Notamacropus eugenii: one gene and its partners. The protein of the gene in region 3 interacts with the protein of the main gene of each other region in a pairwise test. Links are inferred from orthologs where the notes say so. Each region holds a gene or a part of one and is shown on either strand. Other genes may lie near its edges. The genes, in order: YES1, GABARAPL2, FUNDC1 and TUFM.

The links.
Region 1: the proteins of FUNDC1 (region 3) and YES1 interact in binary tests that used the Homo sapiens proteins (3 or more experiments, as listed by UniProt). The two-hybrid records come from large-scale screens. The link is inferred for Notamacropus eugenii from reciprocal best matches to the Homo sapiens genes FUNDC1 and YES1.
Region 2: the proteins of FUNDC1 (region 3) and GABARAPL2 interact in binary tests that used the Homo sapiens proteins (3 or more experiments, as listed by UniProt). The two-hybrid records come from large-scale screens. The link is inferred for Notamacropus eugenii from reciprocal best matches to the Homo sapiens genes FUNDC1 and GABARAPL2.
Region 4: the proteins of FUNDC1 (region 3) and TUFM interact in binary tests that used the Homo sapiens proteins (3 or more experiments, as listed by UniProt). The two-hybrid records come from large-scale screens. The link is inferred for Notamacropus eugenii from reciprocal best matches to the Homo sapiens genes FUNDC1 and TUFM.

What each region holds. Positions count from the first base shown.
Region 1 is NC_092875.1:243,865,577-243,872,920, forward strand, and holds the start of YES1 (tyrosine-protein kinase Yes), read left to right. Parts: upstream 1-4,077; 5' UTR 4,078-5,071; intron 5,072-7,005; 5' UTR 7,006-7,106; coding exon 7,107-7,110; intron 7,111-7,344. UniProt on the Homo sapiens protein: Non-receptor protein tyrosine kinase that is involved in the regulation of cell growth and survival, apoptosis, cell-cell adhesion, cytoskeleton remodeling, and differentiation.
Region 2 is NC_092872.1:712,633,406-712,640,743, forward strand, and holds the start of GABARAPL2 (gamma-aminobutyric acid receptor-associated protein-like 2), read right to left. Parts: upstream 3,224-7,338; 5' UTR 3,042-3,223; coding exon 3,008-3,041; intron 2,725-3,007; coding exon 2,669-2,724; intron 1,749-2,668; coding exon 1,576-1,748; intron 1-1,575. UniProt on the Homo sapiens protein: Ubiquitin-like modifier involved in intra-Golgi traffic. Modulates intra-Golgi transport through coupling between NSF activity and SNAREs activation. It first stimulates the ATPase activity of NSF which in turn stimulates the association with GOSR1.
Region 3 is NC_092876.1:429,739,374-429,747,211, reverse strand, and holds the start of FUNDC1 (FUN14 domain-containing protein 1), read right to left. Parts: upstream 3,177-7,838; 5' UTR 2,858-3,176; coding exon 2,830-2,857; intron 2,486-2,829; exon of another isoform or gene 2,400-2,485; intron 2,294-2,399; exon of another isoform or gene 2,179-2,293; intron 1,577-2,178; coding exon 1,420-1,576; intron 1-1,419. UniProt on the Homo sapiens protein: Integral mitochondrial outer-membrane protein that mediates the formation of mitochondria-associated endoplasmic reticulum membranes (MAMs).
Region 4 is NC_092872.1:46,584,527-46,592,407, reverse strand, and holds the start of TUFM (elongation factor Tu, mitochondrial), read right to left. Parts: upstream 3,073-7,881; 5' UTR 2,763-3,072; coding exon 2,720-2,762; intron 2,298-2,719; coding exon 2,257-2,297; intron 2,128-2,256; coding exon 1,962-2,127; intron 1,698-1,961; coding exon 1,531-1,697; intron 1,278-1,530; coding exon 1,173-1,277; intron 965-1,172; coding exon 800-964; intron 505-799; coding exon 372-504; intron 226-371; coding exon 121-225; intron 7-120; coding exon 1-6. UniProt on the Homo sapiens protein: GTP hydrolase that promotes the GTP-dependent binding of aminoacyl-tRNA to the A-site of ribosomes during protein biosynthesis. Also plays a role in the regulation of autophagy and innate immunity.

The DNA of each region.
Region 1 (7,344 bases), on a different chromosome or scaffold from region 3:
GCCTCATGGAAAAAAAGATTTGTAAACTCTTTCAAAATTTTGGTAATTTTGAAGCAGTAATATTTCATTAATGTACATGATTTATTACATAATGTAAAAAGTTAATTTAGAACTCATACTGACATCTGTTTGGGTAATTCGTTCACATGTTGGTACTTCTAGTGGTGAGGGGAAAAGTTGGTGGATGTCTTTTTCTGCAATGGAACAACCATCTATGTGTATGTATGTATATATACACCATACATGAAAAATGCAAGTAAAATTGGAGATCTTTCAAATCTGATAGTTTTCTTAAAAGTGAAATTCTTCCTTAAAGACTAAGACTGCTCAGATCACCTAGTTTAACTTTCCCGACATTCCATTTTACAGATGAGGAAACTGCCCAAAGTCAAACTATAGTAGTAAGAAGAAATAGTTAGGATTTGATTCCAGGTTCTTTGATTTGAAATCTAGTTCCCTTCCGGTAATGAAAGTATTAACAGGTTATCAAAATTTTGTCTGTGCAAAATCCAGAGTTCTGCAATTCCGAAAAATTTGGGGAAAATTATATTTGGCTATGAATATACAAGCCAAATACTTGTATACTGGAAATGTATCTCATTTTACTTATATACAAATGTGATGTATTTTTCTTCTCAGCATAAAAGACTGGGGTGGGGTATATGTATGTGTGTGCTTGTGTGTTCCCAAGCTACTGAGAGCTGTATAGATGGTATGGTTATCAAATTCTCTTGTCTTGGGAACTTAAAATCATTTTATGTGAACGAAGGTGCTGTTTGGGGCTTTAACTTTGACTTTTCACAATAGAAAATGTAAATAGATAGTTTACTTAATCTAGTGTACTTGACTAAATTTACATCTATGATTCATTGATTTCTTTTCATAGCAATTCACACTGGGAAATTTTAACCTGTTCATAATTTGAACATATTTCAAATCTTCAAAATTACCAAACTATTTTTGTTTTTGTACCTAGTGCTTTTTCCCCTCATTTGTAATGTGTTCATTTTATCACTCAGCATGGAGGGAGGGACCATGTATATTTTATTTCATTTGTATAGTACACAGCATCATTTTTCTTAGAATGTTTAAGCAAATTTGCTTTTTTAACATCAGAAATTTCCTTCGTTTGTGCAGACTTTGAAATTTTGAGTTTACAGAATTTATGAATAGGAGAAAAATATTGTATAATAATTTCATCCCTGTAAATAAATTGTAGTCGTTAGATTTGTAGAATTACATTTGCCTCTCTCTGTGCATGGATCCCTTGGATCTGAGGGGCTAAGAAGTTCTATGCTTCTACCCCCTTCCCTATTTTTTTTCCTCTTCAGAATTTGCTTTTAAAACATCTTTGTCTTTCTGTTAATTTGTCTAGGTCATTTTTGTGGTGTGTATCAATTTCAAAGTATATATATTATTTTCACTTTTCACTCTTTCAGCTGCTCTAGGATTGGGGGCCCTGGGTTCAGCTGCAGCTGCTGGGTGACTTTGACACCATCTACCTTCTGACAGCTCAGAAGGAGATGTAGCCGAAGGAGCTTTAAAAAGTAGCAGAAAGGAAAAGGAAATAACCAGTGTTGGGGCTAGTATTTATTTAACTTTTGTATGCCAAAAAATCTTTGATTACAAGGTCAGTGCTGCTGCTTTGGGAGATCAACTTTCTTTTGAAAAATAATTCTTTTTTATTAGGAACCTAATAAACATGAACATATCAATGTACATAGAACAAAAAAGGATTGTATATGAAAATGAACTTTTGTTATGAAATTTTTTAAAGTGTATATTACATTTGTTATCATAGTAAGAATGGATCTTCTGATTCTGTTCACTCTGCATACAAGTCTTCCCAAGGCTTCTCTGAGTCCATTTTTTTTCTCTTAAAAGAGCCATAATATTCCATTGCATTCATTTACCATAGTTTATTCACCAATTTCCCACTTGATGGGCATCTACTTTTGTTTCAAGGGTTTTGCTAACATAAAAAGTACTGCTGCTGCAAGTATTTTTGTGCATATTTTTTTCGCCAAAACTCTATTTGACTTTTTGAGGTATCTGCCTTGTAGTAGTATCATTAGGTCAAAGGGTATCCACAACTTAGTCACTTTTTTGGTATAGATACCAAAATACTTTCCACGGTGGTTGGACCAATTGACAGTGTATCTCTCTTTCCGTTGTCTCCTTTCATTGTCCTTGCAGCTAGCTATTGCTCTTTTCTTTTTGTTATTTTTGCCTAACCTGTGGGTTCAAGGTGTAGAACCTCTGTGTCATTTTTATTTGTATTTCTCTTACTAATGATTTGGGACAATAACTTTCTTTTGAGAACTATATATTCTTTGACCATTTATCTTTTCAGAAATGGCTCTTATTCTTATATATTTTTATCAATTCCTTATATATCTGTGACATTAGACTTTTATCACAGACATTTTTAGGATCTATGAACTCATTGACAGGATGACCTGGCCTGGTTGGGTATAGAGATGGTGTGGTTCCCTAAAAAACATAGGGGTGAGATACATGCTTACAAGATGCATGTGAGGCACAAATGAATTGAGTTCTGAGGCCCAGGAGTTAAATGACTTAACTTAAATGACTCATGGACCATTCCCAATACCCATCCCCACACCCCCTACTCCAAGATCCCTCGTTCCTTTCTGATTAGATGTATACTTCAAGCTAGATTTGAAGCTGTTAATTTCTTTATTTTCTGTTTTCCTTTCTTGGAAACACTCTCCTCTCTTATTGAAATGATCAATTTTTAGGTTTCTTTCATGAAGACCAGTGGTCTCCAGAGCCAGGTGGGTTGCATAAGAAAAAAATCTATTGAAATGCAGAAAAATAATACTAGAATGTCTACTTCTGTTTATTTTTGTCATTAAAAGTTATATTAAGCTTTACTAATTTTTGATATACAGATTGACACTGACCCTTTCACTCCTTTGTTAATCTCTTTCAGTACTGTGATGTATTACAATTTACAAGTGCCCAGTTGAGGGGATTTGTGGATTATGTTATTTAGTTTTAGCATAATTAATGCTGAAAAAAATGGATACATGGTGTAAAAAAGATAGCTACAAAGAAACCATGGATTGAGAATATTAATAATGAGATAAAACTGTTCACGTGTGAAGAAATCTGCCAAAAAAGTTTAAGATTTAAAAATAAATTTTTTTGTGCCATCAATAAGGACTCTTGCATTGGTAAGTCCCATCTCTAATATAGATTGGCTGTGTGACCCTGGACCAGTCCTTTAACCAACTTCTCAGTGCTTCAACAAATTCTCTAAGACTGTAAGTTGCAAAGAAGGATACTGTCTGCGTTGGTAGAGTAAATCTTTACCCAGGAGCTCCCAAAGTGACAGTTCCTGGCCCCCTTTCCCCCCCTCCCCCCCAAATCTATATACTTTTTTTAAAAATGTAAAAAAATAACTTTCTCATCTGTACAAAAGTCCTCCTGGTGAACAGTTTAAGTGGTCTTTGAACTGATTTGCTTAAAAATACAAATATGTAACACCTTCCAATTGTAGTTTGTAAGTACTACAACTGATTGACTTCAGGAACTGGATTGAAATACAAACCTTTGCATGATTGATGTGTAAGATTGAAAAATGAGTGTCCAATGTCCTGGCTTAATGAATGCAGCTAGTAATGTACTTCTTAAATTTGGAGCTGCATATCTTTGTGAGTTTTTTTAAAACATTGATATGGCTTTTAGATTCATAATCTCATTGAACACATTTTATAAACTGACAGTCATTAAAAACACATATTGAAACAAATTGAACTTAGAATGAGGCCTTTGAATCTCTATTTCACAAAATGCTAAATCAAGATTTTTAAAAATCATAATCATTTAATTATTCTACTGTCACTAAAATATATATGCCTATGGAATATATCACTACAAAAATTACAAAAATATTTATGCATAAAATACTAGTAATAATATTTTAATAAGGGTAAAAAAGCTTTTTACCCTTATTTTAATCCCTTGTTTTAAAGTACTATTTCACTTTTAGCCTATCCTTTGTTAATTTCTTTGTATATGTTTCATGATGTATTGGTTTTGTATGTGATATATTGGTTTTATATGTGATATTGGTTTTGTAGTATATGTATATAATTTATAAATAAATGAACATGTATCAGTGTAGTTGGAAATTTTTTGCTGTTGTAGTGCATGAACAAAAACATTTGGAGCCTAGTGATTTAGAGAGCTATTGTTATGTGGAATCCAGAAAGTTTAGAGGTTAGAACTCCAGTTGCCAGCTCTTTAGCTGAGAAGTGGAATTCTCCAGGAGATAGTGCTTGTCCCCATCCAGCTTTCCTTCTGTATGTAAAAGTCACACTTTTCAGTAATCCTTCTATATCCAGATGTTCAAACTATAACCATAGGTTTTCCCTTCTCTTTAGTCTCACACAAAGTCTTAGGGAGAGGTAAAAAAGAAAGACTTGTACAGATTTCTTATAAATAATGTAATGATGGTAATAGTATTTTTTGCCAAAATTCATAATTTTGAAAACATGCATTCTGTTTCATTTTGTAGCATTGTTAGACGAGGAAAAAACTTGTATAATTTAAGTATCCAAATATATAGTAAAGATAATTATCGGCTAGTAGAATGTAAGCTTCTTAAGGTATTTTGGATTTTTTGCATTTTTGCTAGGCACTGAAAATATACATGCTAAATTTCATGTTTTGAATGCTTAATACATACTGTTCACTTAAATTGGGAATTCATGTCCTTATTGAATGTTACAGACATATGTGCCTTTGTGTGTATACATACACGTATATACACACACATATATGCAATACATATATATACATAACACACACACACACATATATCTCCAAACTAACAGATGCCATTGGAAAATTGATACTTTTGAGACAATGCTGCTATTAATGTTAATGTAGTATAGGAACATCCCAAGTCAACCCCAATATCAATTTGACTTGTTTTTCTCTTCAAAACTTTTTCTTACTGTGATTGTCTAGAGTCTAAGCTGTTTGCCTTTACAATCCTGAAAGGAAGGATGGGAACATTTGAGAACACATTGTCAGTGTGGTACGTTGACATCAATACAGTGTATTGATATTGATTCTACGGACATATTTTATGCATTGCCTTTATAATGGAATTCATAATTTCAAACTTTTCCTATATCTTTTCGGGCCAAGTCTGATAGTGTTTAAATTTTAGGAGAATAGACAAGGATTGTTTTAAAGGCTAAGGAAGGCTAAATTCTATGTTCTAGAATGAGTTTGCAAAACATTCAGACTTTTTGGGGGATTGTGAATCTAACAGCCATTTTATTGATATGTGTAAATCTAACTTTAAAAATCATTGTGGTTCAAGTGAAATGAATCTTTACTCAGGACAGCTTCTGCCCCTTCTCCCCTTAGTCTTTTTTGTCCTGGTAAAAAGTACAAAGCAAAAGTATTGAAATATGAACTTTATTTGGTAACGTAAAAGTCTGTCAGTACACTAACAATGACAAGTCCATATCCTTTTAAGAAATAAATTTTAAGGTGGGAGAGGAAAGATTTTCTGATTTTCTTGATGAAGTAATGTGTGGTTTATTCACAGGATCTGTCTGGTGGGAGGATTAAAGGGGAGTGGAAGGGACTAGGACAAGACAGGAAGTACTGGGAGAAAGGATTGATGACTGAAACCTCAGAATAAAATTAATTTTCTACCAATATACATAACAATTTGTTTAATATGTCTGCTTTTTATGGAGGCCAGTTTTTAGAAAAAACTTCAGCATTGTTTTCATCTTATGCATTAGAAATTTTTTTGGTTAAGAATATGATAGATGCTTTTACTATGAAAATAGATTCTTATAAATATTCTATAGGAACCTTATTGATTTATGACTTTTTCAGGAAAGGCATACTGTTTTTTAAGAGAAACACAAATTTTAATATTTTTTTCCCTTCATGATCATGTAGCATAAATAAAAATACTTAAAAGTAGAAAAGAGGCAGTATGAAAAAAAGACTTGGATTCCACTTTGTAATCCTGTCTCTGGCTGGCCTCACTGTTCAAAAATTCCTTACAGCTTTGAAATTCTATGGCTTTTCAACTTCCAGTTTTTCTCCCTAAACCACACTAATAAGTGTTTAGGGAAGACCTTCAGAAATTTCAGATTCTGTCCAAATAAACTAGAAAATAAGCATGGTCCTATCAAATCTGAATATTAGGTTATCAGATGAGTCAGAATTGTAATTAAGACCTTTGATTCCGAGACTTGGCATTGAACTTGGTGATGATGTCTTTTGTGGGGTTTATTCTATATCCTGTGCAAATAATCATTTTGGTAGGTTAATAGGTTATGTAGTATAATGGAAAGATTACTAGATTATTGATGGAGTTGTGAATTGGTTTCAGTCATTCCAGAAAGCAGTTTAGAATTAGGCAAAGAAAGTAACTAAAATGTCATTGACCCACAGATTCCATTGCTACAAAGGTACAATAAGAGCACCAAAATATTTTATACACCTTACCCTTATATACCAAGATATTTTGTTTTATAGTAGCAAAGGCCTGGAAACAAATTCAGATGCCTGTCAATTATGGAATGAAAAATGCAAATGAAAAGCATAAAATTATGCCTCAAAATTATTATTACAAAGTTTGGTCACAAAGACAATATTTGAGGAAGCACCTCCTCTGTTTCCTTTGAAAAAGAACAGAGTGATGGGCATGGAACACCACATACGATGTCAGGATTTTTTGATATGTAATTTTGGTGAGCTGGCTTTTTGTCTTTTTTTTTTTTTAATTTAATAAGTAAGAAATAGTAATCTGGGAGGGAGTTGGGGGTAAAGGTACAATGGAAACTAAAAATAAAAAAGATTTAGTAAAAACATATTTCAAAAGTTTGGAAACAGGATAAATTTGTTTACATTCAGTTCTGAGAGATTTTCATTATAAAATTTGTATGTGTTGTTTAATGTTTCTATAAACATTAAAGCTTTTTCTTTTTTCTCCCTCAGCAAAATGAGAATCAACTTTAGCATATGGAAACATTTCTATACTGCAGATTATTCTGTTGGGGGTGGAACACAGGACCCAAGTATTTACAAATAATTGTCAAATGAGTATGTATTTTCAAATACTACTAAAATAACCAAAAATCCTTTGATGTAAGAATTGCCCACAGATACTAGAAGATGCTTCATTAACTTCATTTTTAGGAAGATCATGATGAAGAAAGAATGAGTAGTTTTTTCCTGTTGTATTCTTGTCCAGAAGCTTGTCTCTCATTGCTTCCGTAACAGTTAAGGATTTCTCATTCAACCTCTCTAAATAATCAGATGCTGCAAGAAGCTGCT
Region 2 (7,338 bases), on a different chromosome or scaffold from region 3:
TGTGACTATTAAAGTGCAGCCATCAGGAAACGAAGTGATCTCAATGTATTTTGATTTCATTTTCTTCAAGTTGTATCAAAAGTTCAGAGTGAAGTGCAAAAAAAAAAAAAAAGCCCTAACTGCCACATATCCTACTCTAAGATGAAGCAAAAACAGAGCTTTTTAAACTTGATTGCTAGAGTTTCAGATGGTAGGTAATGAAGTCCTGCTTCTTATCATATGATGACCCCCCATCCCCATAAGGAAGGACAAGAGCTAACTATTGCTGTCCAACAGCTTTCAACCCTAGTGAAAGAAGCACCAAGAAATGCCCTGCCTTCCACTCCTAACCACAGGCCTCATCAAAGAGAGGGAGGGCCAGAAGAAGTGACTCCAAAGTGACAAGTTTGTTCCTAATAAACCTGAAACTTCTCAGATGACAGCTGTGGCTAGCCCAAGAACCTCAATGGGCCATGGCTGGGCTTTTCCTTTTCAGGTAGGAATCACCACTACAAGGCCAAGATCTTATTTCTTATTCCATTTCCACCCTCACTAGGAAGTAGATATTGTTGAAGGGACTAAGGAAAAAGGAAGTAACACCTAAAAAACCAAAGCTGTTTACTTTTAGAAGAAATAAAGAATGAGTTTGGTTTAGATCCCTCCTCTGGAGCCTCAAAGGTTTCCAAATCAAGGGCATTTTGTCCACACTGGGCAAAGTATTTGTTTTCAAACATTCTCTTTTTGGAAAACAGATTGAGCCTAAACCAGTCTTGACTCTCTTCTGGTCTCTGATGTTACAAAGGGCCAGGAATCCCCTTTCAGACAGCAACACAAAACAGGAAACCAGAATCTGGCCATAGGCCTGAGAGTAATCAACGTAGAGTAAGAGAAGAAGCAATTACGAGTTTAAAGTCTATTTCCTTTCATACAGAAGATAAAACTGACAAGGTCAACACAGAATGGGAGAAGACTGCCTTGAAACTGGATTTTTGGTCCCAAGTTGTAGTTAGAATGAAGTTCCAAGCAGGAAAACAGCTAGAGTGCTAAAGTTATTCTATTGCCAGCCAAAGCAAAAAGTGATAAATAGGAATCAAAACGAACAAAAACCTAACAATCCATGTAATTCTCATAGCCCTTCACAGGAAACCAGCCCTAGTAAATGATAATCAGACAGCTAAAAAAACGACTGCAATGAGAAAAGCTGACTGAAGCATTTGGAGACACAGCCAACAAGGTGATTAGTTCAAATCTAGGACTCTGCAAGGCCTAATGAAGAGCTCCAGGAAGCATGGGCACTACTAATTTTTGGACTATTAAAGTAGACCTTTGTCTCAAGCCTCAGATCCGGAGTTTAAGCTCAGCCCCAAGAAGCTGCTCTCAATGGTTCTTAACAGTATGCATTCTCCACTTCACAACCTGCCCTAGTACAGATGGATACTATCATGGCATCTTCCCCTTTCTTCTAGTTATTACTTGAAAACAAAAGCCTACATTTCAAGACAATCCCTAAGAGATTAAGGGCCAAAAAGTACTTGAGTACCACAATCAACCCATCAAAATAAGTGTTCAAAGGATCAGTAAGTGACTGCCTCTCACCTAGACTGTGGGACTGTTTTATCCACAAACAGGAAGATTGCTTTCTCTGAGGGGAGCTGGATCCGTTTCCTGATGATCCACATGAACTGGGCCACAGTGATGTCAGATGGAACCAGGTACTTCCGCTTGTCAATGTCAACAATCTGAGAGCCTGAGACTTTTTCCACAATCACCTGGAAAAGCAGAGGTCAGGGTTAGCTTCTGAAATAAAGGCTTTAATCTGTCATGTGCTTGGGGAGCTGATGAAGGCACACTGTGCTAGAAATGTCAGGGGATTAAGAGGAAGACAGAACTACATGATAGAATGGCAAAATGTTACCTTTGCTGCTGAAAATTATACGCTTTGGAGAGTATATTTATATGGTGAGCTGTTTTCTTTCATGAAGTCAGTTACTGTATTCTACATCCCTGATCAGAGGCACTTACAGAAAAAAGCAGCTCTTAATGTATTGAACTTTAGAAAATCAAGTGAAGAAAATTATTCATTTTAGTTCCATCTAATCCCCCAAAGTTCGACCCACTGCACCTCACAAGATAATTGAGTTACCAAAGAAACGTTACAGTTGGAAGGGACTCCACGGTTATGTGGATGAGGAAAACCGAAGACATTAATGACTGGCTTAAGGTAACAAAGCCAGTAAGTGATGGGAACACCCAACAAGCAGAGGCAGGAACCTGGCAGAGAACTTTTAAGGAACCGAGTGGTTAACCTGCCCCCCTGGTTCCTCTTTCTGCTGGCCGGTCTTATTTCGGTTTTCTCAAAGATTAAGAATTCAGGTGTGTGTCCTCCGAACCCCGGCCTCTCCCCGCCCTCCCCTCCGAGAAGAAAGCCTGCGGCAGGTACGGAGCCCTTTCACCAACCTGCCGCACCCTTCCGAAGGGGGGGCATCAGGGCAAGGTGCCCCCGCCCCCGTGCTCCCCTCGGCCCGTCCTGGAATCCCGTCCCTTCCATAACCCGGAGGGAGCCTGGAGGCTGCCCCAGATAGGACACTCGGCGGCGGTGAAGGCCCCGGCCCCCTCCCTGCGCCCCCTCCGCCCCCCGTGACGCCCCGCAAGGACGGGGGGCGCCGCCGGAGCCCCGCTCCCTACTCACCGGGACCCGGTCGGGATATTTGGCTCGGATTTTGGCAGACTCCACACATCTGTGTTCTGTGGACGAGACAAAGTGAGGGGTTCGGAGCGGGGGTCCGCGCCTCGGGCCCTTCCCTCGCCCCGCGGCCGAGCCGGCCCGGGCGGGGTGGAGCCCCCGGGGAGGGGCGCCGCGCTCGGCTCCGCCGGCCCCCGCCCCGGCCCTCCGGACCCTCCGCCGCGGGCCGGGCTGAGACTGGGCCCGGGGCCCGGGGCGCAGAGGGCTCAGGCCGGGCCGGGCCTCGCCAGCCGCTCCCCCGGGCCGACCCCGGCCTCGGGCCCGCGCCCCCAACCCGGCCCTTACCCAGCGAGTGGTCCTCCTTGAACATCCACTTCATGGCGGCGGCGGCGGAGAAGGGACGGAGCCGGCTCTCGGAGCCGCGGAAGGGACCGGACGGGCCCGGCCTCGACAACAACAAAAACAGCGGCGACGGCGACGGAGGAGGAGGAGGAGGAGGAGGTGACGGCAGCGGCAGCGGCGGCGGCACGAGAGGCGGGACTTCCGACTGACGGAGCCTAGCAACTGGGCAGGGGGCGGGCCTTCCGGCGACAGTCGCTAAGGGGCGGGGCCTGCGCTACGCAGCCCGCCCAGAAGGCGTAAGCCACTCTCCCATACCTCTGGAGGAGATCTAACTCGAGGGAGGGGGATCGGTGACAGTGACAGGTCTGTAGGAGGAGGGTGACGTGACCCGTCTGTGGGAGGAGGGTGATGTGACCCGAATGTGGGAGGAGGGTGATGTGACCCGTCGGTAGAGTCCTGGTGGGGAGGGGTGATGCTGACAGGTCCGTGGGGTCACTAGGGGCAGGGGCGGTGGTGACCGGTCCGTGGGGGGCTCTAGGGGGAGGGGTGATGCTGACAGGTCCGTGGGGTCTCTAGGGGACAGGTTCGTGGGGGGCTGAAGGGGGAGGGGTGATGCTGACAGGTCCGTGGGGTCACTAGGGGCAGGGGCGGTGGTGACCGGTCCGTGGGGGGCTCTAGGGGGAGGGGTGATGCTGACAGGTTCGTGGGGGGCTCTAGGGGACAGGTCCGTGGGGGGCTGTATGGGGAGGGGTTGCTGATGCCTGCGGAGGCAGAGAAGTTTCATGACTGGGAGCTCACTTATTACAAATGAGATTCCAGTAAGAGACCCCATCTCTGGGTTTGGTCATGTCTCATTACTGAGCGGAGGAGAGAGGGAAGTTAGAGGTGACTGTCAGGACTGATGAATTCCCTTGACAGCGGGTCATAAGACTGGCATTCCTGTGGGCCATTCTGAGCAGGGTTCAAAAGTCACAAGGCAGTGTGGCACAGGTCACCTGCCTTTCCTCATACTTTAAAGGTTCTCCAGCTGGTGATGTAATTACGTTCCTCCAAACAATCATCTGGGAAGAACAGGGAAGTCATCTGTTTATGAGTAATTGAACTTTTAGAGGGTGTGTTGACCAATTTATGTGCACGATGCATATCACGTGCTGGCGACTCTGATGTATCTGAAAGGTCTCTTTTTTAATGCTGGTCTTCCTTCCTTACCTACAATTAAAATTCCTGAGACATGTCACGGAGCCTAACTACATCTCAAATATTTTAGTTATTTTGAGGTTGCACCTCTGAGCAACGCAAATATTTTGAAAGTGAAAGTAAAAATACTTTGCATTTTGACCAGACCTTTCTCCCAGAGAGTTCTTTGCAGATAGTGTATTTATTCTCAGGACCTGTTTCCAAAGGACGTGTGAGCTTTCCTGTTTTAGAGACAAAAGTACTGAGTGGTAAGGTGGTTTGTTCAACATTATTCAGGAAAGCAGTAGAGTTCCAAAGGACCTTGAATCCCTTTCGGCTACCCCAGCCAGGTTGCCCTATATATGTATTTATGACCACCTCTGCTTAAAAAGTAATTACTTTTATACCTCTCTGGTTTTAAGAGTTATAAGGACTCAAAGCTACTTGAACCATCTTGCATCCCCATGTACCTCCTCCTGAGCTTTTCATAGCTCAAATTCTAATTATGTAATCTTTCATGGTCTTTTCCATCCACTTTCCTAGCAATATTTTTTTTTTGTTTTCCCTATTCCGTCTTGACTATTTTAATTATCTACCTACTAGTTAAGTCAATATTTCAATGGTCTTCTCTGCCTAACAAGACACGGTAAGTAGCTACAAAGGAAGTAAAACACATAGATCCAGTCCTGGAGAAGCTTATAACCCTAATAAACAAGGTAGAACCCTATGTGAAAATACAAATAGATTAATTTTTAAATGCTAGGTGAATTACAGGTTTATATTTATGAATACTAAGGATATGTGAATAATTGCAAATGATAGTTTCATGACAGAAGTGACTCAGAAAGAGTTTTGAAGGAAGGAATGGACATGAATTAGCAGATGGAGAAGTAAATGTTCCAAGTCAGGAAGAAAAGGAGCAAAGACTCCTGGTGGATCAAATGACTTGGATGAAGACATTGATGACATGCTTGTCAGGTCGTCAGATGGCTAGGAGCTAGGAGGAATAATTCATTGAAAGACAATGTCAGGATCCAAAAATATCTCAACAACTTAAAATGGTGGGCTAATTTAATAAGACGAAGTGCAATAAAGATAAATGCACAGTTCTACACTGGAGTTCCAAAAATCCATGAAATATGTACAGGATGAGCTAGACACACATAGACAACAGTTCTTATGGGGGGAAAAACCTGAAGATTTAGCTCAAAATGAGTCAATAGGGTGAATGTTTGTTCAAGGCTGTATTACTACAAGAGTCATAATGCCCAAAATAAGGTAAAGTAGTTGTCCCTGTCTGCTCTGGTCCTACTACATCTAGAATATTGTGTCACTTCTGGATGCCACACTTTAATAATAAAAAAATCATATGTACATGTTTGTTTTGTTTATATTTCTTTTTGTACATGTTTCTCCCAATAGGGTATAAACTCCTTTAAGGTGGGGACTGCTTCTTTGTACAATAAGTTGGCTGTAATGAGGAACTAGCCAATGAGGACCTAATCCTTAGAGCAAACTCATATTTGTTCTTCCTGTTCAATTCTACAGAACATGATAGATATTCCCTCCTTCATTCTAATCCAGTAGAACAACTGAACTGCCTCAGTACAAGGAAAAGATTTATCTCCCACCTTTATTGCAACGTGTCCATGAGCATCCTGGAAGGGTAAAGTTTTTAGTATTGTCAGTCACAAGCCCCAATCTGGGGTGCTCCCCATTATCAATCCAACTGTAGAACTCTACTGCTTTTAGAAAAGGGATGTGCTACGAAAGTATAGCAAAAACAATAGTTACAAAAACATTTTCCTTAAGCTGGCAGCATACGCTCTCCATGTACATACAAGGGTCCTGAGTGCAGTGCACTCCCTTAAAGTACAATGGTAATGAGGCATATGTATAAAGAACACATGGCCAAGGGGTACTCCCTGATTCCTGGTGCTAGAAGTTCTTTCCTTCTCGTCATGAAATTCTCATGAGGTTCCTCTTAGGTGTATTTCCTGGATTCTAAGAATCAATGCCTTTCTATGGTCCATAACCAGCACTTTTCTTGGTCCCAAAGGGTTATAATCCTTAAAGTTGCAGTCATCCTTGGGGGTCAGGTTTCTACCTTTATCTGTAGGTGTTTCCTTTGTCACTGACCTCTACTACTGGGTTGGACTCTGCTATTGACTGTTTGTCAGGTGCACTTTGGGTGGCTCTGATCTATTTTGTGGTGGCTAGGACACTTCCCTCTGGGAATAGTTATTCATCTAGGATCAAGAACGAATGAATAAACATAAAAGAAGCAGAAGCAACATGTATTTGAGAACACATGGTGACCAGATGTGAGAAAGATAGCTGCCTTGGGTCTTACCTGCCACATCATGGCAGTTTTGCTTTACTTGCCCCAGGAAGGAAAAAAAAAAAGCTTACTGAGGGTAAGATTACTCCTTTCATTTACACTCAGTTCTATCTCAGCAGCCTCTGAGTCATCAGCCCTTCAAGTTCTTCAACCAATCAGAAGCCTCTGTCACCACATATCTAATTCTAAGAGTAGATAACCAAGATTATGCCTAGAATTTTGAGGGAAGAAATTGTGAGCTGCTCTTTTGGGACCCTGCCCACTCATACATATTATTGGAAGTTGGAGAATTAGCCCTTGAAGGGGTACTGTGTAAGACTTACCAAGCACTTTACATACACTATTTTATTAAATCTTCACAATTCTGTTGTTGCTGTTTTTCCGTCATTCTCAAAGAGGACCATGACATAGGGGAATTGGATGTAAGTGAGGTAGAGCTGTGTAGAGCCACCAGTCTCATTTCTCTGGAGCCATCTGGGTCCAGTGGCAAGAAATAGATCAGGATGACTGGAGATGGCCTTGGATGCATTGTTAGACCTTGCTCTTTTTAAGCTAAGGTCTCGGTGTGAGAGGCAATGACCATTCAGTGATAAAAGCTAGGAAAGAAAAGAGGAAGAGAGTGGATTTTTTGACCTAATCAAAAAAAAAAAAATCTAGGAGAGGAAGACCAGATGTCAGGGTTTCTGGCCAAAACAGAAACAATTGCTATTTACATTCACTCTGGGCCAATCAGGGCCCAAACAATGATCAAGTGGGATTTGGCCTGAGACCTCTTTGTTGGTCAATCAATGAGAACCAGAGTGACTTGGGTCCTTAA
Region 3 (7,838 bases):
TCAAGGCCAGAAACTGAGGAACGTTAGGCCAGGGAAGCAGGGGACTCTGGGGAAGAGGTCAATAAGGACAAAGGGCAGGTTTAGGAGGAGTAGGGGGAGAAAATGACAGAAGAAAGATTTTCAGGGTCTGGATCAGGAAGACTGAACACTTATGGGTAAGGTAAGGTGATGGGCATGATCATCTGAGCTGGAATAAAGATACATATGGTGACAGGAGATGAGAAGGTTGATGAAATGGGAAGATAGGGGTTGGCTGAGAGAATCCCAACTCAAGTTCTCAAGTATAAGGTTAAGATTTGTAGCAGAAAGACTGTGAACCAATTAATGAAGTGTGTACTAGTAAATAAATACCAACAGGGTTTAGAAAGGGTGATTTATTTGGATTTTATGAACTTAAAAGAGCACCAGTTGCTGAGTGACAGCAGCAGAGGAAAGATCTCGCTTAATAAAAGAAACCTCTCCTGGTCTAAAATATCAGGAGCTAGAATAAAAGGTACATATGATTTGGGTGGAAAGGGATGAAGTATCTTCTGGCGAAAACCAGGTGTCCTGGAGTGCAAGAAGATGGATGGAAAGTTTTGTTAATGACAATGGCGGTTCCTCAGGACCCAGTGGAAAGAGAGGGTGGAACCAGACAAGGACTCAGAGAAGAGCTGAGATGGATGGAGTGTTAACAGAAGGGGGAGGTGAGATTTCAAGAAGCAGGCAGGCCATCTTAAATCACAGTAATTAGAAGGGAAATGAGAGTCTGCAAGCCAAAGAGTGGAGATATACTGACTTTTGGCCGAAGAGTCCCACCTCAAAGGTCCCTTGATTGGAAGAGAAGGAAACATCAGTTACCTCCATCTCAAACTTGAGGACAGAAAGAAAAGGCCAAGGTATTTATGTTAACATGGGCAAAAAGTTAAGACAGGTATCTGAGAGTATGATGTTGACAATAATTTTTCCAAGACATAATTAGAAGAACACTAAGTTTAGCAGCACTAGTAAGGAAATACCCTGATTACCTCCACTATTCACTTAAAAGACCAAACTAAACTACTGTAAACCAAGACACCTAACATTGGTTGTAGATTAAAATATTACAATTATGAGTATTGGCTAATGTCTGTTTATCTCCATTGGCATATACCTTACTTTATTGAAAAAGAGCTCTTTTAAGAGCTAGTTAACTATTTTTTGGTCCTGACTTGTGATTTCATCTGTAAGCATTCCTCCTAAAAACTCAATATCAGAAAATATTCTACACTTAAAGCCTCAAAGTTAAGGGTTTAATCCCTGCTCACACAGCCATTATGTTTTAGTCTTAAAATTCAAGTCTGTAAGGGTGTCCTGCCAATCTACCACTCTCAGTTAAGTATGAACAAGTCTTAATGAATCAATGACATCCTACAAGATTAAAAAATGTTACATTCTCACCATCCAGTAACTCCACCCAACACAATCTGAGTAGCTACGGAGTACTTCTCTACAATAGGTCCAGAGCTGTGGCCAAATACACGGTTCCACCAGTGGTGTCTTCTTGCATACTCTGTTAAATCGAGTACTTCATAAGAATCATCATCACTGTCATGTTCTTTCACAGAGAAAAAGGAAAACACAGGCATTAAATTCAGTCAAAAGCCAGGAAATGGTCTTCAACAGTTTAAAATTATCTCTCTTTCTAGTAAAATGGTTTCTCTGAGAACTCTTAAATTTTGACTTTTTTGTGTCTAATTCCAGATACCAGAGATACATCTCTCTATGTCTATATCTATATACAAGATACATATCTGTGTGTATAAAATCTTGAGTTCCTACTGTAAAAAAGTGATAGCATCTCGAAGACTTACTGAAAGACGGAAGTCAAAGTGGATGGGGGAGGTAAGCGGTCTATGGAAGTGACTTTGATGGTAGGCCTTACAGTAAGAGTGACAAAGGGGGAAGGGTAAAGGGGGAGAACCAAGTCTTTCTTCTCTTTCACCAGTGAAAGGCCTCCCGACGGCCCAGACCCAGACAAGGGGGTGGGGCTGAAATAGACAAGGTAAACGCTGGGGGGGCTGAAATAGACAAGGTAAACGCTGGGGGGGGGGGGGGGGGAGGGGGGCTGAAATAGACAAGGTAAACGCCGGGGGAGCTGAAATAGACCAGGAAAAGTCCCAGGGATGTTCACACAGCTCCTCTGGCACGGGCACCTCGGGGAGAGAAGAGGAGCCGGCCTTCCTGGAGGAGAGGGAGAAGGGGGTGCACACAAACACGGGTCTGCGGCCAGGGCAAACTGCATTCAGACTCTGGGGACACGCTGTACAGCAAGGTCAGAAGGAGAGAAGACCCGGCTGTGTTCTGGGGGGGGGGGGGGGGGAAGGGGACGAGGAAGAAATGGGCGTGGGGGAGGGTGGCCTGTGACCAGGCGGGCACCCCAATAAAGGAGGGGGCAGCGGGGCTACGTCTGCAAGAAAGATGGCAGGAGGGGGATGGAGCGGTGCGGGCACCAATACGGAAGAGGGTAAATAAAGACTGGGGGGGAAGGGCCAGCGGGAGGCTCTGGGGAGGAGAAGGGGGGATTCCAGGGCAGAGGGAGGGGGTGGTTAGGGAGTTGTTTGGGGGTTTCTGGGAGGGGCAGGAAGGTTGTGAAGCTCAGCGTCTGGGGAAAGGGCAGAGGGTCCAAGGGCTCGGGGTCCACGTAGGAGGCAATGGGGGGGAGGGGAGATGGAGGGGTCGAGTGGGGGAAGGGTGAACGTTGGGCCACGGAGAAAGGGAGGGGAGGGAAATGGGGGTAAGTCCGGAAGGGGCATAACCGCAGTTTCTGTTTCGATTATCCGTCTCGGGGGGTCCCTCGGGGCCGCTCACCTGTGGGACGGGGGTTCCTGGTCGCCATGATCCCGCCGGCGGCCTGTAGTCAGAGACCCCCACCCCCCGCCCCTAATAGCCCCCTAGGAGAGCTGCTCGCCCCACCACTCTAGGGGCCGCTCTACGCTGGAAGCGAGAGAAGTCCGAACTCTATGGTTATCTTCCGCCTTAACCAGCCTTTATTTCTTCTCCCTGACCCCCCCCTGCCCTGCCCCCGGCATAAGACTTCCTGCGCAAGCGTAAACTATGAGGGCCTGAGGGAGCCCTGCTGGGGGCCGCATCCGTCCTCGGCCCCTGAGGCTTGTGGGAATTGTAGTCTTGGTGACCCAAGCATATGAAGATGCAGGGCTGACGCTCCCCTGCTGTGCCTGTGCCCCGCTCCCCCTTTCCCATCTTCGTTCTGGTGACTGAAAGCAAGAGGCCGGGGACTGGGGACATTTCAGTTCAATTCAATTTATATTTACTACGCTGGAGATAAAATTAGAGGCCAAATGCAGCCCCTGCCCTCCAGGAGTTTAAAATCTAACTTGGGAGACATGCCAATGGAAACAAAGCAAGGATAAATTAGAGATAATTAACATAATAATCTATCCACCCCCAGCCCCCTTCCATTTTTCTTTCTCACATTACTAAAAATTCAATGCAAAGGTAGGAGGGGAAGTGTCTCAAGAAAACAATTAAAAAAAAAAAACATAAAGCACTTTAGAGATGGGAAGGAGACTTAAAACTGAGTCAAAGTATCCCTTGGAGGCAGCTTAATTCAATCACCTTTTCTCCTTGGCTCCTCCCCCACCTGCCCCAATCTCCAGATATTGACTATTTCCCAACAAAAAGGAGCCCTGTGAAATCAAACCCAGATCCCTTAATTTGATCATTGGAAAGGTCTGTGTATTCCCTCCATCTTCCTAGACTTCAACCCTCCTGTCACCACCACTCTTCCCCCCCATCCTCAAAGCTTCCAAATCTTTAGGGATTTATTCATGCCTTCACTGAAAGCCTACCTAGATCTTCCTAACAAAATAGAGATATTACTTCTAGTTCTTGTGATTTAAAAGACAGAACAGTAGGGAAAAGGGTAAAGGGAGTGGGAGTGATAATCAAAAAGGTAGAAAGAAAATGATGGATTAATCAGTGAAATAAATTGCAGAAGAGAACTTTTGAAAAGATGGGAAAAATGAGGTTGGCTCCTGCATTCATTTGCCCCATGGGATTATATATATGAGAGGGCGGGGAATGGGAGTGGGATTAATAAAGTCCAGCTTTATTAATGTAATCACAGAAAGTAAATAATAAGTTGTTAAACTAACTTTTAAAAAATGAGGCCCCACCTAGAGAGCCCTTTATGAGGTGCAAACAAGTTCCTTGTCTGAATTTGAAGGGGAGCCTGGCCATTGGCTGAGAAATAATTGGCCACACCCCTAAAAGCCTTCAAAACAGCCCTACCTGGAATTTCTGGAACCCTATAGTGGATGTAATTTTAAGAGTTGATCCCTGGATTGGAGAGAGATCTAGTCAACGTACTTTTAGAGTTGACCCCAGGATTCAAGCCCAGGCAAAAGAATGAAAGCTGGACCCTGGAGCTTAATTGACCTACCAATGCAACAAAGACCTAGGATTCCACACTAAAAGAAAGGCTATTCAGGACCTGTAATATTTGGAGACATAGTTACCTTGGTCATACGGGTACTTCACTATAATTATGTTTCAGTTGGTGCCCACTGTACCCACAAGATACCATGTTTATTTGAGGGAAAACTAAATCCAAGGTTTACACAAGGAAAATTATAGCTAACTATTATGTCATTTGGTGAGTTGTTTCCTTAAGCCAGTTGATTGTTTATGAGAAGCACACTAGATGGTGGGGAATGAGCCATATTGTTCTTAAGAGGGTTCTTAAGAGTACCCTGTGTCCTCAACCTGCAAACTAGTGAGTGAGACATGAAGAATGGTGTTGATCTGATCACCAAGCCAACCAAACAAGTTCAAGGAGAGATTCTCCCTGAAAAATGTTTGGAAGACCCATTATAATAGCAACTCATCTGTACATTTAAGCAAAACAGTATTCACTAAAGAAAAAGGCTAAATCTTGGTTTGCTGTTCCAGATTAATTTTACCTCAAATCAATATTCTGCCTCTGCTTTGCTGAACTTTGCTTTTCAAATTCTGAGCTATCAATGCCTAGACATTTGTGCTACTGAAATCTTAGCCCCTTCCTGAAGAAGCAAATCTAAGATTGTTTGGAGATGGCATTCATTTTAAACCCAAAAAGCAGAGTACTGTATCAGTCTGGGGAGAGAAAAATGAGTTCAGGGTTGTGTATCTGCAAAGAAGGAGGCTGTGTGGGGTAAGGTTATATGTAGAATGGATACTTACTGTATTCTAAAAATTCTAAGAAATAGATGAAACTATTTTTTTCTCACTTTATTCAATGATTTTAATTTTTGATTAATTTGCATGGATTTATAATAAAAATGCTGAATATGTGTAGCTATAGTCTAGCAAGAGCTAGTACATAAACTATGCAAAAATGAAAACAGGTTGCCCCATAAAAGAGGGCCTGCTATCCTTAGAAATTTTCAAGAAGAGATTGAATATGTTAAATCCCTTACCCAGATATCCCATGGGATTGTATGGAATGAAGAAGAGTATGGAGTACAAAGCCAGGTTCCAGGAGAAAAGATCATCATATAAAATGGTGAAACTATATTGTCAATTTTTCCCATCTAGACTTCAACAAGCTACCCTTCCTATATATTTGCTAATAATACAATATTAGATGACATTTTTATTGTGGATTAAAGTATACAAAGGATTTCTAAATACGTTTTGCATTTGATCCTCACAACAACCTATAAAAATAAAAATACCTGTTTTAAAATGATGAAACCAATCTAGAAGGGTTATGGCTTGTCCTCATTGCTTAATAACTGTCTGACTGAAAATCTAGGTCTTTGTGACTCCAAGATCAGTTCCCTGCATTATTCCATGCTATGTTGGACTAGATTATCCTGTTTTAGCTTGGAAATTTTACAGTTTTATATTAATTATTTAATCAGTTTATGATATATTGGCTCTCTGTAAGGACCATGTCCCTTTTAGACTAGCAAATTTGAATTTACATTATGAGGGACAAGGCCTTTTCCTATATGAGTGAATTATTCCACTCCTTTTAGGCAAAGGATTTTTTCCAGCCACTCATTTTTACTGAGCAACAGAAGAACATAGAACTTTAAGAGTACCCTGAACTCTAGAGCTCTTTGGTAATTATTGCAAAAGGTCATTCATGACCTCGCTTGCCAAGATGAAGATTTGGGAAATGTTCTACTGATAGTCATTCTAAATTGGGGTGAGGTCTCTTAGCACTGAGGGAGCCCATTGTTTAGGGAGTAGAAAAGAAGAAACTTCTTCCAATCTAGGCTACCTATTTCTGAAAGAACACAAGTAAGTATCCTCCATTGAGTGTTGTAACTAACTTAAGCTGGAAGTGGTAGACGTTAGAGTTACCCTTAAAGAAACAAATTCAGGGATTTCCAGGGAGCACAGCCAAGATGACAAAGTAAAAGCAGGGACTTCCCTGAGCTCTCCCCCAAAGCCCTCCAAATACCTGTAAAAAATGACTAAACAAATTCTAGAGCTACAGAAGCCACAAAATGATAGCGTGAAACAAATCCCCAGCCCAAGACAACCTGGAAAGTCAACAAAAAGTGTCTTTCACACCAGGTAGGGAGCAGAGTGCGGTCTAGCGTGGACAGCACCAACACAGACTGGCCACAGCAGACCTCAGGGGACTGAATCATTGGCAGCTGTGGTGGTTACCAGATTTCTCAACCCACAAACCAAAAAGGTCAATGGGAAAACTCTGTGGGACATGGGTGAAAAAGGAGTTGAAGGTCTGGCCCCAGCCTTAGGGCAGCAGCTGCAGCAGAGACTGCTTCCAGAGCTCTGGGCCCTCAGAGGGTGGGGTATCAAGCGACTGATACAAAATCCCTGAAGCCTGGTACAATAAATCCACCCCAACCTCCCCTACTCCCACTGGAAGCATAGTCCTACCTTGAAAGAGAGTTAGAAAGTCAGGTGTTTGGCTAGGAAGATAAGTAATCATAAAAGAACTCAGACTATAGAATCTTACTTTGGTGACAAGGAAGGTCAGGGCATACAACCAGAGAAGGACATCAGAGTCAAAGCTTCTACATCAAAAGCCTCAAAGAGCAAAAGGTATTGGTTGTAGGCCATGGAGGAGCTCAAAAAGGAAGTTGAAAATCAAGTAAGAGAAATGGAGGAAAAGTTGGGAAAAGAAATGAGAGTGATGCAAGAAAATCGTGAAAATGGAGTCATGATTAACTAGAATCCAGCCCTTCCCTTCAAAGACATCTAATCTGAAAATGATAACTTTCCCAACCCCCAAGAAAAACCCAGATGTACAGGTAAAACCATAAGATCTGTGTATTTTCACATCAGATTGTAAACATCTACCTCAAAACATATTTTGAGGATTTTTCACTTTCAGTGAGCCTAGAAGTCACATTCCCGTTGGGGGATAAATATTTACATTTGCTAAATTGAGGGGAAGAAGCTTCCCAAGTGACAATGTGCCAGGCCTAGAGGCCTGAGGGCTACCCGAGTCTTACCTTACCTGTCCCAGGTCTTCGGTTGGCCAAACCGGATAAACGTATGAGAGAAGAGACTTTCCGGAGTCGAACAAGGGTTAGGCTTTATTCAGGGTCCTGGTTACATGTGCAGGGGGAATTCTTCCTTAGGAGGGAGAGAGAAATCTCCCAAGGAGGCAAAGATCTTACGGTAAGAGATTGGAAGCAGAAGTGTAAGTGGGGAGAGAGGGGGAGGGGAGAGCGAAGAGAGGAAAAACGGAGCCTTCTGTCCTGTCAGGGCCCCTCCGAGCTAAGAGAGCTTTCAGGCTTTCCTGATCCTAATTAACCTCTCCGGCCGCATAGTTTGCACCTGAATACCGTGCCTGTTAGATAACAATAGGTGTGCCCAGACCCGGGCCAATC
Region 4 (7,881 bases), on a different chromosome or scaffold from region 3:
CAATTCCTGAAATAGGAGAGCAACTTGAAGGCAGGAACAGGGAGAGGGACAAGGTCTCAGTCGGTAAGCAAGAACAGGGGAAATAGGAAGAAGGGTTTAATGGTGGCATGTGAACTTGACCTGTGACCACAGAACGAATGTTCTTGCTGTGGCCCAAGAATTCGCATTCATCCCCTTTCTTCACAGTTCCTCTCTCCAGGGTCCCTGTGACTACTGTGCCACGACCTAGAACAGAAAGGCTTAGAATGTGGGGAGGGTTTCAAGGGATTTGGGGAAAATTAAAAATGCCAAGAAGGGATGATTCTAAACCAGGAGAAAGACCACTGGGGAGGCTCAAAGAAGCTGGGAAAAATATAAAGCAGCAATCTCACCAGGGATGGAATAAACAGACTCAATAGGCAGCAGGAAGGGCTTCTCCAGATCCCGAGCGGGCACAGGAATATGAGTGTCCACAGCATCGAGCAGTTTCATTACAGAATTCACCCCTAACTCTGGCTGCCGCTGCTATGGTTAAAGGAGAAGCATAGGGTCAGGGAAGAGCCAGTTTTTTTCCTCAAAGAGGAAGACAAAGAATACAGGGCAGCAGCAGCGGAGAGGTGGTACATGGGCTAAAGTTCCTATTCAGTCTTCCAATCATAAGTCTTCCTCTTCACAAAATCTTGGACAATGGGTCAGATGGTCAGTCCAGCCTGGGGTCATGTGACAACCCTTTCAAAGGTATCCCCATGAGAGAATGAGAATGAACAAAAAACCCCAAGGAGAATCACCCCCCAACATGCCACCTTCTACTCCCCCTTACCTCAAGGGCACAGAGGGCAGAACCAACAATGACAGGAGTCTTCTCTCCATCATAGCCAAACTCAGTGAGCAGCTCCCGTACTTCTAGCTCTACAAGCTCTATCACTTCATTGTCCTGGACGGCATCTGCCTTGTTCACAAACACTACCATGTGCTCCACACCAATCTGGTGGGAGAAAATTGCTCCCATTAACAAGGTTTACAGACAAGTTTAGAAAAGGGCATTTGAAATGCAATGTAGGAATGATCCTGACTGCACTGAATCCATGCTTCACCTCAGAGCCCTTTTTAAAGACTGCTTTCCTTTCCCTACACCATCCTTCCCCACTGCAGACTTAGATTTCTAGCAAGGCTCCATCTGAAGAGACTGATACCTGTTTGGCAAGCAGCAGGTGCTCCCTTGTCTGGGGCATGGGGCCATCATTGGCTGCCACTACCAGGATGCAGCCATCCAATGGGGCTGTGCCCGTGATCATGTTCTGGAGAAAGAGAATGATGCTAGTTGAACATGAAAATTTGCTTTGGCTTTCAAATTTTTCTGCTTTTCTCTTCTCCAAGGGCCATGATGTGGTCAGTCTTTCTCCACTATTCCTCCTTTTCCTGTGCCTTAAATCCTCCCCTTAAGGCTCTGTTTTCTCCTTTCTTCTTACCAGCACCTTACAGTAAAACCATGACATTTCTGTATCTTCCCCAGAGTTCCAAGCCTCAGGCTGCCCAGTATATTCCTCTCACCTTGACATAGTCGGCATGCCCAGGACAGTCAGTATGAGCATAGTGTCGAGTGGCTGTACTATATTCCACATGGGCTGCATTGATGGTGATACCACGGGCTCGCTCCTCTGGTGCATTGTCAATCTCCTCATACTTCTTAAACTTGGCCCCACCACCCTCTGCCAGAACTTGGAACCAGAAGGGAAGAAAGAGTTGAAGGGAATACGTACACCTAACCACAGTCCAGATCCCATTTCAAGAATAAGGCAAGCAACATCCGGGAAACAAGGATCCTGTAAGTTTCTATCTTCGCCCTGCTTCTCACCCCACCTAGATTCGCAGGATATCCTCTAGCAGTGCCCCTTTAAAATGCCCACCTGTTCATATATATTTTCTGACCCCCGACAACCAAGACGCTGCCCTCCCCCACAGACACGTTCCTCTGGTCTTACTCTTGGTGATTGCCGCTGTCAGTGTGGTTTTGCCGTGATCCACGTGGCCGATAGTGCCCACGTTAATGTGGGGTTTGTCTCTCACGTACGTCTTCTTGGCCTCGACAGCCAGGCCCCGTAAAAGGAGGGGCAGGGAGGGCCTCTGCCCCGGGTTGGAAAGGTGAGCCTGCAGGGAAAGAAAAATTCCGGGCCCTCAAGTGTCAGGCACCAGAGAAGGGCAGCTCCGCTCACGCTCACGCAGCTTTCCCCCTCCCTCGCGCCCTGGTCAGGGGTGGGATCTGGGACGTGTCCTTACCCTCTTCAAGAACCTGTGCAGCAGCTGGCAGCTCTGCAGGGCTGCGAAGGGAAGGGAAGGGAAGGCGTCAGAGGACGAAAAGCGCAGCTCTCCCTTCCCCCACCCCCGGCCGCCCCTTCTGGGCTTTCCTTCCTCTACCCCTCGGCCCCGCCCCGCCCCTCCCGCCGGCGGCCCCTTCCCCCACGGCGCCCCCCCCGCCCCGCCCCCTTCTCCCAGCACCCCTCCCGCCGGCGGCCCCTTCCCCCACGGCACCCCCCCGCCCCGCCCCCTCCTCCCCCCGCCCCTCCCGCCGGCGGCCCCTTCCCCCACGGCGCCCCCCCCCGCCCCGCCCCCTTCTCCCAGCACCCCTCCCGCCGGCGGCCCCCTCCATGGCACCCTCCTCCTCCCCGCTCTGCCTCGGCCGGCTCTCCCCATCGCTTCTGCTCTGCCCCCGGGTCAAGAGGCCCCGCAGCCTCCCTCCTACCGCCGGGCCCGGGCCGTGCACGGAACATCACGGTTGCAGCCATCGCGACGAGGGACGGGGGCGGGCGGAGGGGGAGGAACGGGGCCAATGGAAGCGCTAGAAGGAAAAGAGCGCCAGAGGGGAAAGGGACCGGGGACGGGACGGCGTGCGAGACGCTAAGGGCACGGGGAACTGGAAAGCACTTCCGTCGGACGGAAGTGACGAAGGGCAGGAAAGGGAGACTACGGAGTGGTTCCTTCTAGGACCGCCGTGGCGGACTTCCTGTGAGGCAGGGATACCCGGAAGAAGACTGGGGCCGAAGGCCGGAGACATAGACCAGCTGCCAGCTCCCATCATGCATCTCCAGGAACAACAACAAAGCCCCGCCCCTTTTGTGTTGCCTTCTGGGATTTGTGGTCATCTGAGGGTAGGGGTTGTCTAGGGCTCATTCTGGGGAAGTTTTTAGGAGATGGTTGTAGGCAAGTCGGGGGTTTCCCACTTGACCTGAAGTGACTCGGGGCTGGAGCCCTTTATGTCTCAAATACCCTACTCACCCCGGGCGAATGAGTGAAGAAAACCATTTGAGCGGTCTTGCAGACAAGGTGCCACTTGCCTTGGTAGTGTCCTCATTCGGGGGGCACCCTGCGTCATTGAAATCACAGATCTGGTCCTTATCCCTGTAACTCTGCTGTGCTCCTGGCGCTGTGCTAAGCCCTGAAAATGCAAGAGCGAGACGGTCCTTACCCTGACAGGGCTCGCAACCTAACAAGGGCAGGCAATACGGCAAGGATATTCCATAGGAAAGGATGTTTTGGGCTGAAAGGAAGAGGGATGGTGAGTGGAGGTGTAGGGCAATGGGCACACCCTTTCCAGAAGCAATGGCTCTGCTGATTGATGTATAGGCCCCAAAGTAAGAGGGGGACAAGGGGTTGGGGAGAAGGTAGTGGTTTCCATGCAGAGCTGCAAAATGGGTTGGGGGGGGGGGGTTCAATATGCTAGGAGTCTAAGACTACCTAGGTATGTTGAGATCTCATTATTCAGCACAGAACCTTCCCCAGGGAGCTCCAAAGTACAGTGGCTTATTTCTCCAAGGCATGAGGAATGGGGTCTCCCATATCTGCCCTGAAGATCCATTCTGGTTTCTGCCAGAAATTCCTCTATTGAGTTTCTTTTGGGTTCCCCTTTTGAAAGGGAAATAGTCTTACATCAGTAACAAATAAAATTTACCTAACGTGCTAGACTCAGTCTTCTTAATGGGAGATACCTAGCCACCCACAACTTCTAAAATGGGGGTGTTAAGGCCCCTAGTCTAAGTTACTGCACAACCTTCCGAGCTGGTTTTCTTGCTCCAATATCATCTTTCTCTGATCCATCCTGCAAACAGATTCTTTTATAAAACACAGCTCTGCTCATGTCACTGTCTTAAGCAGAAATCCCCAGCGGTTCTCCCAGATGTATAGCAGGCTTTGTGGTATAATAGAAAGAGTAATGACTGGTCTTGGAGTCAGAAGGCCTGAGTTCAGATACCCTTTCTGATACTTATTAAATGTGTAAACTTAATAGATAATTTCATTTCTCTTAGCCTTACTTTCTTCATTTGCAAAATGGGGGAAATAGTGCTCATATTAATTTATAAAGTTGTTGTGAGAAGGAAAGTGTTTTTAAAAACCTTCAAGTTCCATAAAAATGTGAATCATTATTACTATTACAGGATAAAATCCAAATTCTTTGATCTAGAATTCAAGATCCTCTACCATCTGACTCCTACCTTACCTTTCCAATCCCACTGTTGCATCCTGCCTTAATGTTCCAGCCAACGTGGTCAGTGTTCGATCTGGAATGTCTTCATCTATTCTCTCCATCTATGTGAATCATATACTACTTCAAGGCCCAGCTCAAATTCTTTCTACTTAGTGAATCTTCTGGCAAAATTCTTGATCAGAAAGGGTTTTTTCTCAGAATTCTCAAAGTATTCTGTACCTCTTCTATAGTTCTCACCATATTTGTAGCAAGTGACCAGGAGAATCCCGATCAATACGATGAGTTTCCCAATCAACTAGATAAGAGCTTTTCTTTGTTAGAAGGGCATACCACACATGGAGCTACACAGGTGCCACAGTCTCTAGTTGAAAGAACAGAGTATTTATTGTTCTCCCCAGGCCTTCCTTAAAGATGTCTGGGTACTGAGAATCAGGGGATACATATTTTTGTCAGAGCATCTTTCTTGAGTTCTATAAAAATGAGTTATCAAAGTCTACATCTAGGTAGAACTTATAACAAGGGAAAAGGATGATAGATGATAAATTAGACAATTTTGATTATATAAAACGTAAAAATTTTTGTACAAACAAAATTGGTTATAATTAAAATTAGAAAGGAAAAAGGTAATTGAGGGAAAAAAATCTTTGCAACAACTTTTTTTTCTGATAAAGGCCTTTCCAAGATACATAAGGAATTGGTTCAAATTTTATAAGAATAAGAGCCATTCACCAATAAACAAAGAACATGAAACAAGCTGTTTTCAAAGGAAGACATACAAGCTATCAATGACCATAGGATAAAATGTTCCAGATCATTAACAGAGAAATTCAAATTAAAGCAGCACTGAGATTTTACTTCGAATGCATCAGATTGGCAAGGATGACAAAAAGAAAAAATGGCAAATGTTGAAAGAGCTGAAGGAAAACAGGAATGCTAATGTACTATTAGTAGAGTTTTGAATTGGTTCAGCCATTCTGGAAAACAACATAGAACCATGTCCCAAAAGTCTGTAAATTTTGCATACCTTTTACCTCGCGATTTGACTAATGGGGCTATATCCCAAAGAACTTAAAAGAGGGAAAGGACCTATGTATACAAAAATACAACAGCACTTTTCATAGTGGCCTGAAACTAAGGGGATGAGGTCCATTTATTGGGGAATTATGGTATATGAATGTCATACTTATGACAAGCCCATGGGATATTTAATACAAATGTAATCTCCAGTTTACAGATAAACTAATTCTCAGAGAGGTCAAGAGACTTGTCTGTGATCACAAAGCTAATAAGCGTTACAGCCTGGACTCAGATTCCAGTCTCCTCTGACTCTAAGTCTGTACATAAACTACACCATGTTGTCTTATGTTAAATACAAGCCCTTAACACAGAAGTAGTTGTAGAATCCTAGAAACAAAACACCATCCACATGAATCTTCAGTTAAAGTGACTTGATTCTACTGGTTTCTTTGAGCTATCTCTGAAACCCCTGAGACAACTTTTGTTGTTTGTCCTTCCTTCTCAAAGAGGACCATGACGTCCAGAAGGTGATGTCATAACTTGCAAGTGAATTGGATGGCAGGGCTCTACAAAGTAACCAGTCTCACTTTCTCCTCCAGAACAATCTTAGTCCAGTGGCAAGATATAGATCAGGACTGGAGATGCCCCCCCTACCCCATCCCATGACTATTAGCAGGCTCATATATCATTATGCATCAACAGAAGGGACCATACAAGTCTTTTAATTCAATCTCCTCATTTTACAGAAGAGAAAACTGAGACTCAGAATGTCTCTAGGGCCAGAATTTAAGTTCAGGTTCTCTACTTCCCTTTCTCAGTCCATTATACTATCTTGTAAATTACAGACATGGCAGGAAGTCAATGAAGGGTTTTTTTTCCATTGGAGACTCAAGGGTGGAGGTCTCCTTGGATGTGCCCATCAAGACCACTGCATTCCCCTTGGTCTGATATCAGTCCCCCAAGTGCTGAGGAAGAACCTCAAGGCATTTCTGGGGCTGCTGTTTCTTGCCCAGAAAAAGGCCAAGGTCTTAGACTCAGGGGCAGGTAGGTGTCACAGTGGATAGAGAGCACTGAGTCTAGAGTCAGGAAGACCTCAGTTCAAATCCAGCCTCAGACGCTTACTAGTTGTATGACCCTGGGCAAGTCACTTAACCCTGTTTGCCTCAGTTCCTAATCTGTAAAATGAGCTGAAAAAGAAAATGGCAAACCACTCCAATATCTTCACCAAGAAAACCCCACCAAGGGGTCACAAAAAATCGGACACGACTGAAAACCATTGAACATAAACTCAGGTTCTAGACTCCCCAGCTGGGAGGTGGGAATTCTTTCTCAAGGTCACCTCAGCCTTCCCACATCCCTCCTCCAGGGGGCGCTGTCCTCTTCTTCCTAGAACGAGAGAATCCGGCGCTCTAGGAGGCCACCTGACCTCTCTGTGACCTCTAGCCGGCTGGAGGAGGCGCCGTCCTCTCTCTGGTTTCACGCTCCCCTGCCTCTGTTTGGGATACTCTATCGCGAGGCCCCGTCTCTATGGTCGGTCGGCCGGCCAACCTCCGTCCTCCTTACGGAAGATGGCAGGGGAGGTCCTAGTCTAGACTAAGCCATCTCGGCGGGACGCCTCAGGGGATGTTCCACCCTGAGGGGCGAGTGGTGGAGACGCCCGAGTGTTCCCAGCGCCTCCTCCTCCTCCGCATGAAGAGCCCCTATTCCTACACCCTGGGAGAACGGTCTCTATGATCCCCGTGCCTCAGGAGGAGGAAGTCGGCGGGGAACGTGCCTTTCTCTCTCCGCGGGCTTATCTATGGTCTTTTTTTTTCCTTGATGGGAAAGGGGGTCCCGGCGCCTGCGCAGTAGCTGGCTGGTCGCTGGTCACTGGTGGTTGGGGGTGGGGGGGGAGCGGGAGCCGCCGCTGCTGCTGCCGCCGGAGCAAACCGCGGGGACCGAGATGCAGGTGGGACCGGAACCGGAACCCCCCTCCTCATTCTCCTCTCCCCACTCGGACCCTCCCCCCTTCCCCGGGCCAGGGACTGGAGGGAAGGCCGAAGGTCCCGGAGCGGGGCCGGGCTCGGAGGCCGGGGGCCGGGGCAGCGCCCCGAGGGCAGCGCCCCCCGGGAGGCCGCCGGAGCGGGCCGCCATGGGCGGAGGGAAGGCCGGGCGCTCCCCGGAGCCCCCCACCCCGGAGGCGCGCTGGGGCCTCGCCGCCGCAGGGCCAGGGGTCGGGCTCGAGGAGCTGCGGCGTCTGGGGGGACCCGCCTGGGGTGAGGGCCCCCCGCGTTGGTGCGCCGTGCGCGGGCTGAGTGTGGGGGCGGGAGGCCTCCCTCCTTCCAGGCCGCTTCCTGGGGGTGGCTGTAAAAGGCCCCCAGAAGGAGAGGGAGGAGGCCGCTCTCGCCCCGCCTGGTCCGCGGGGG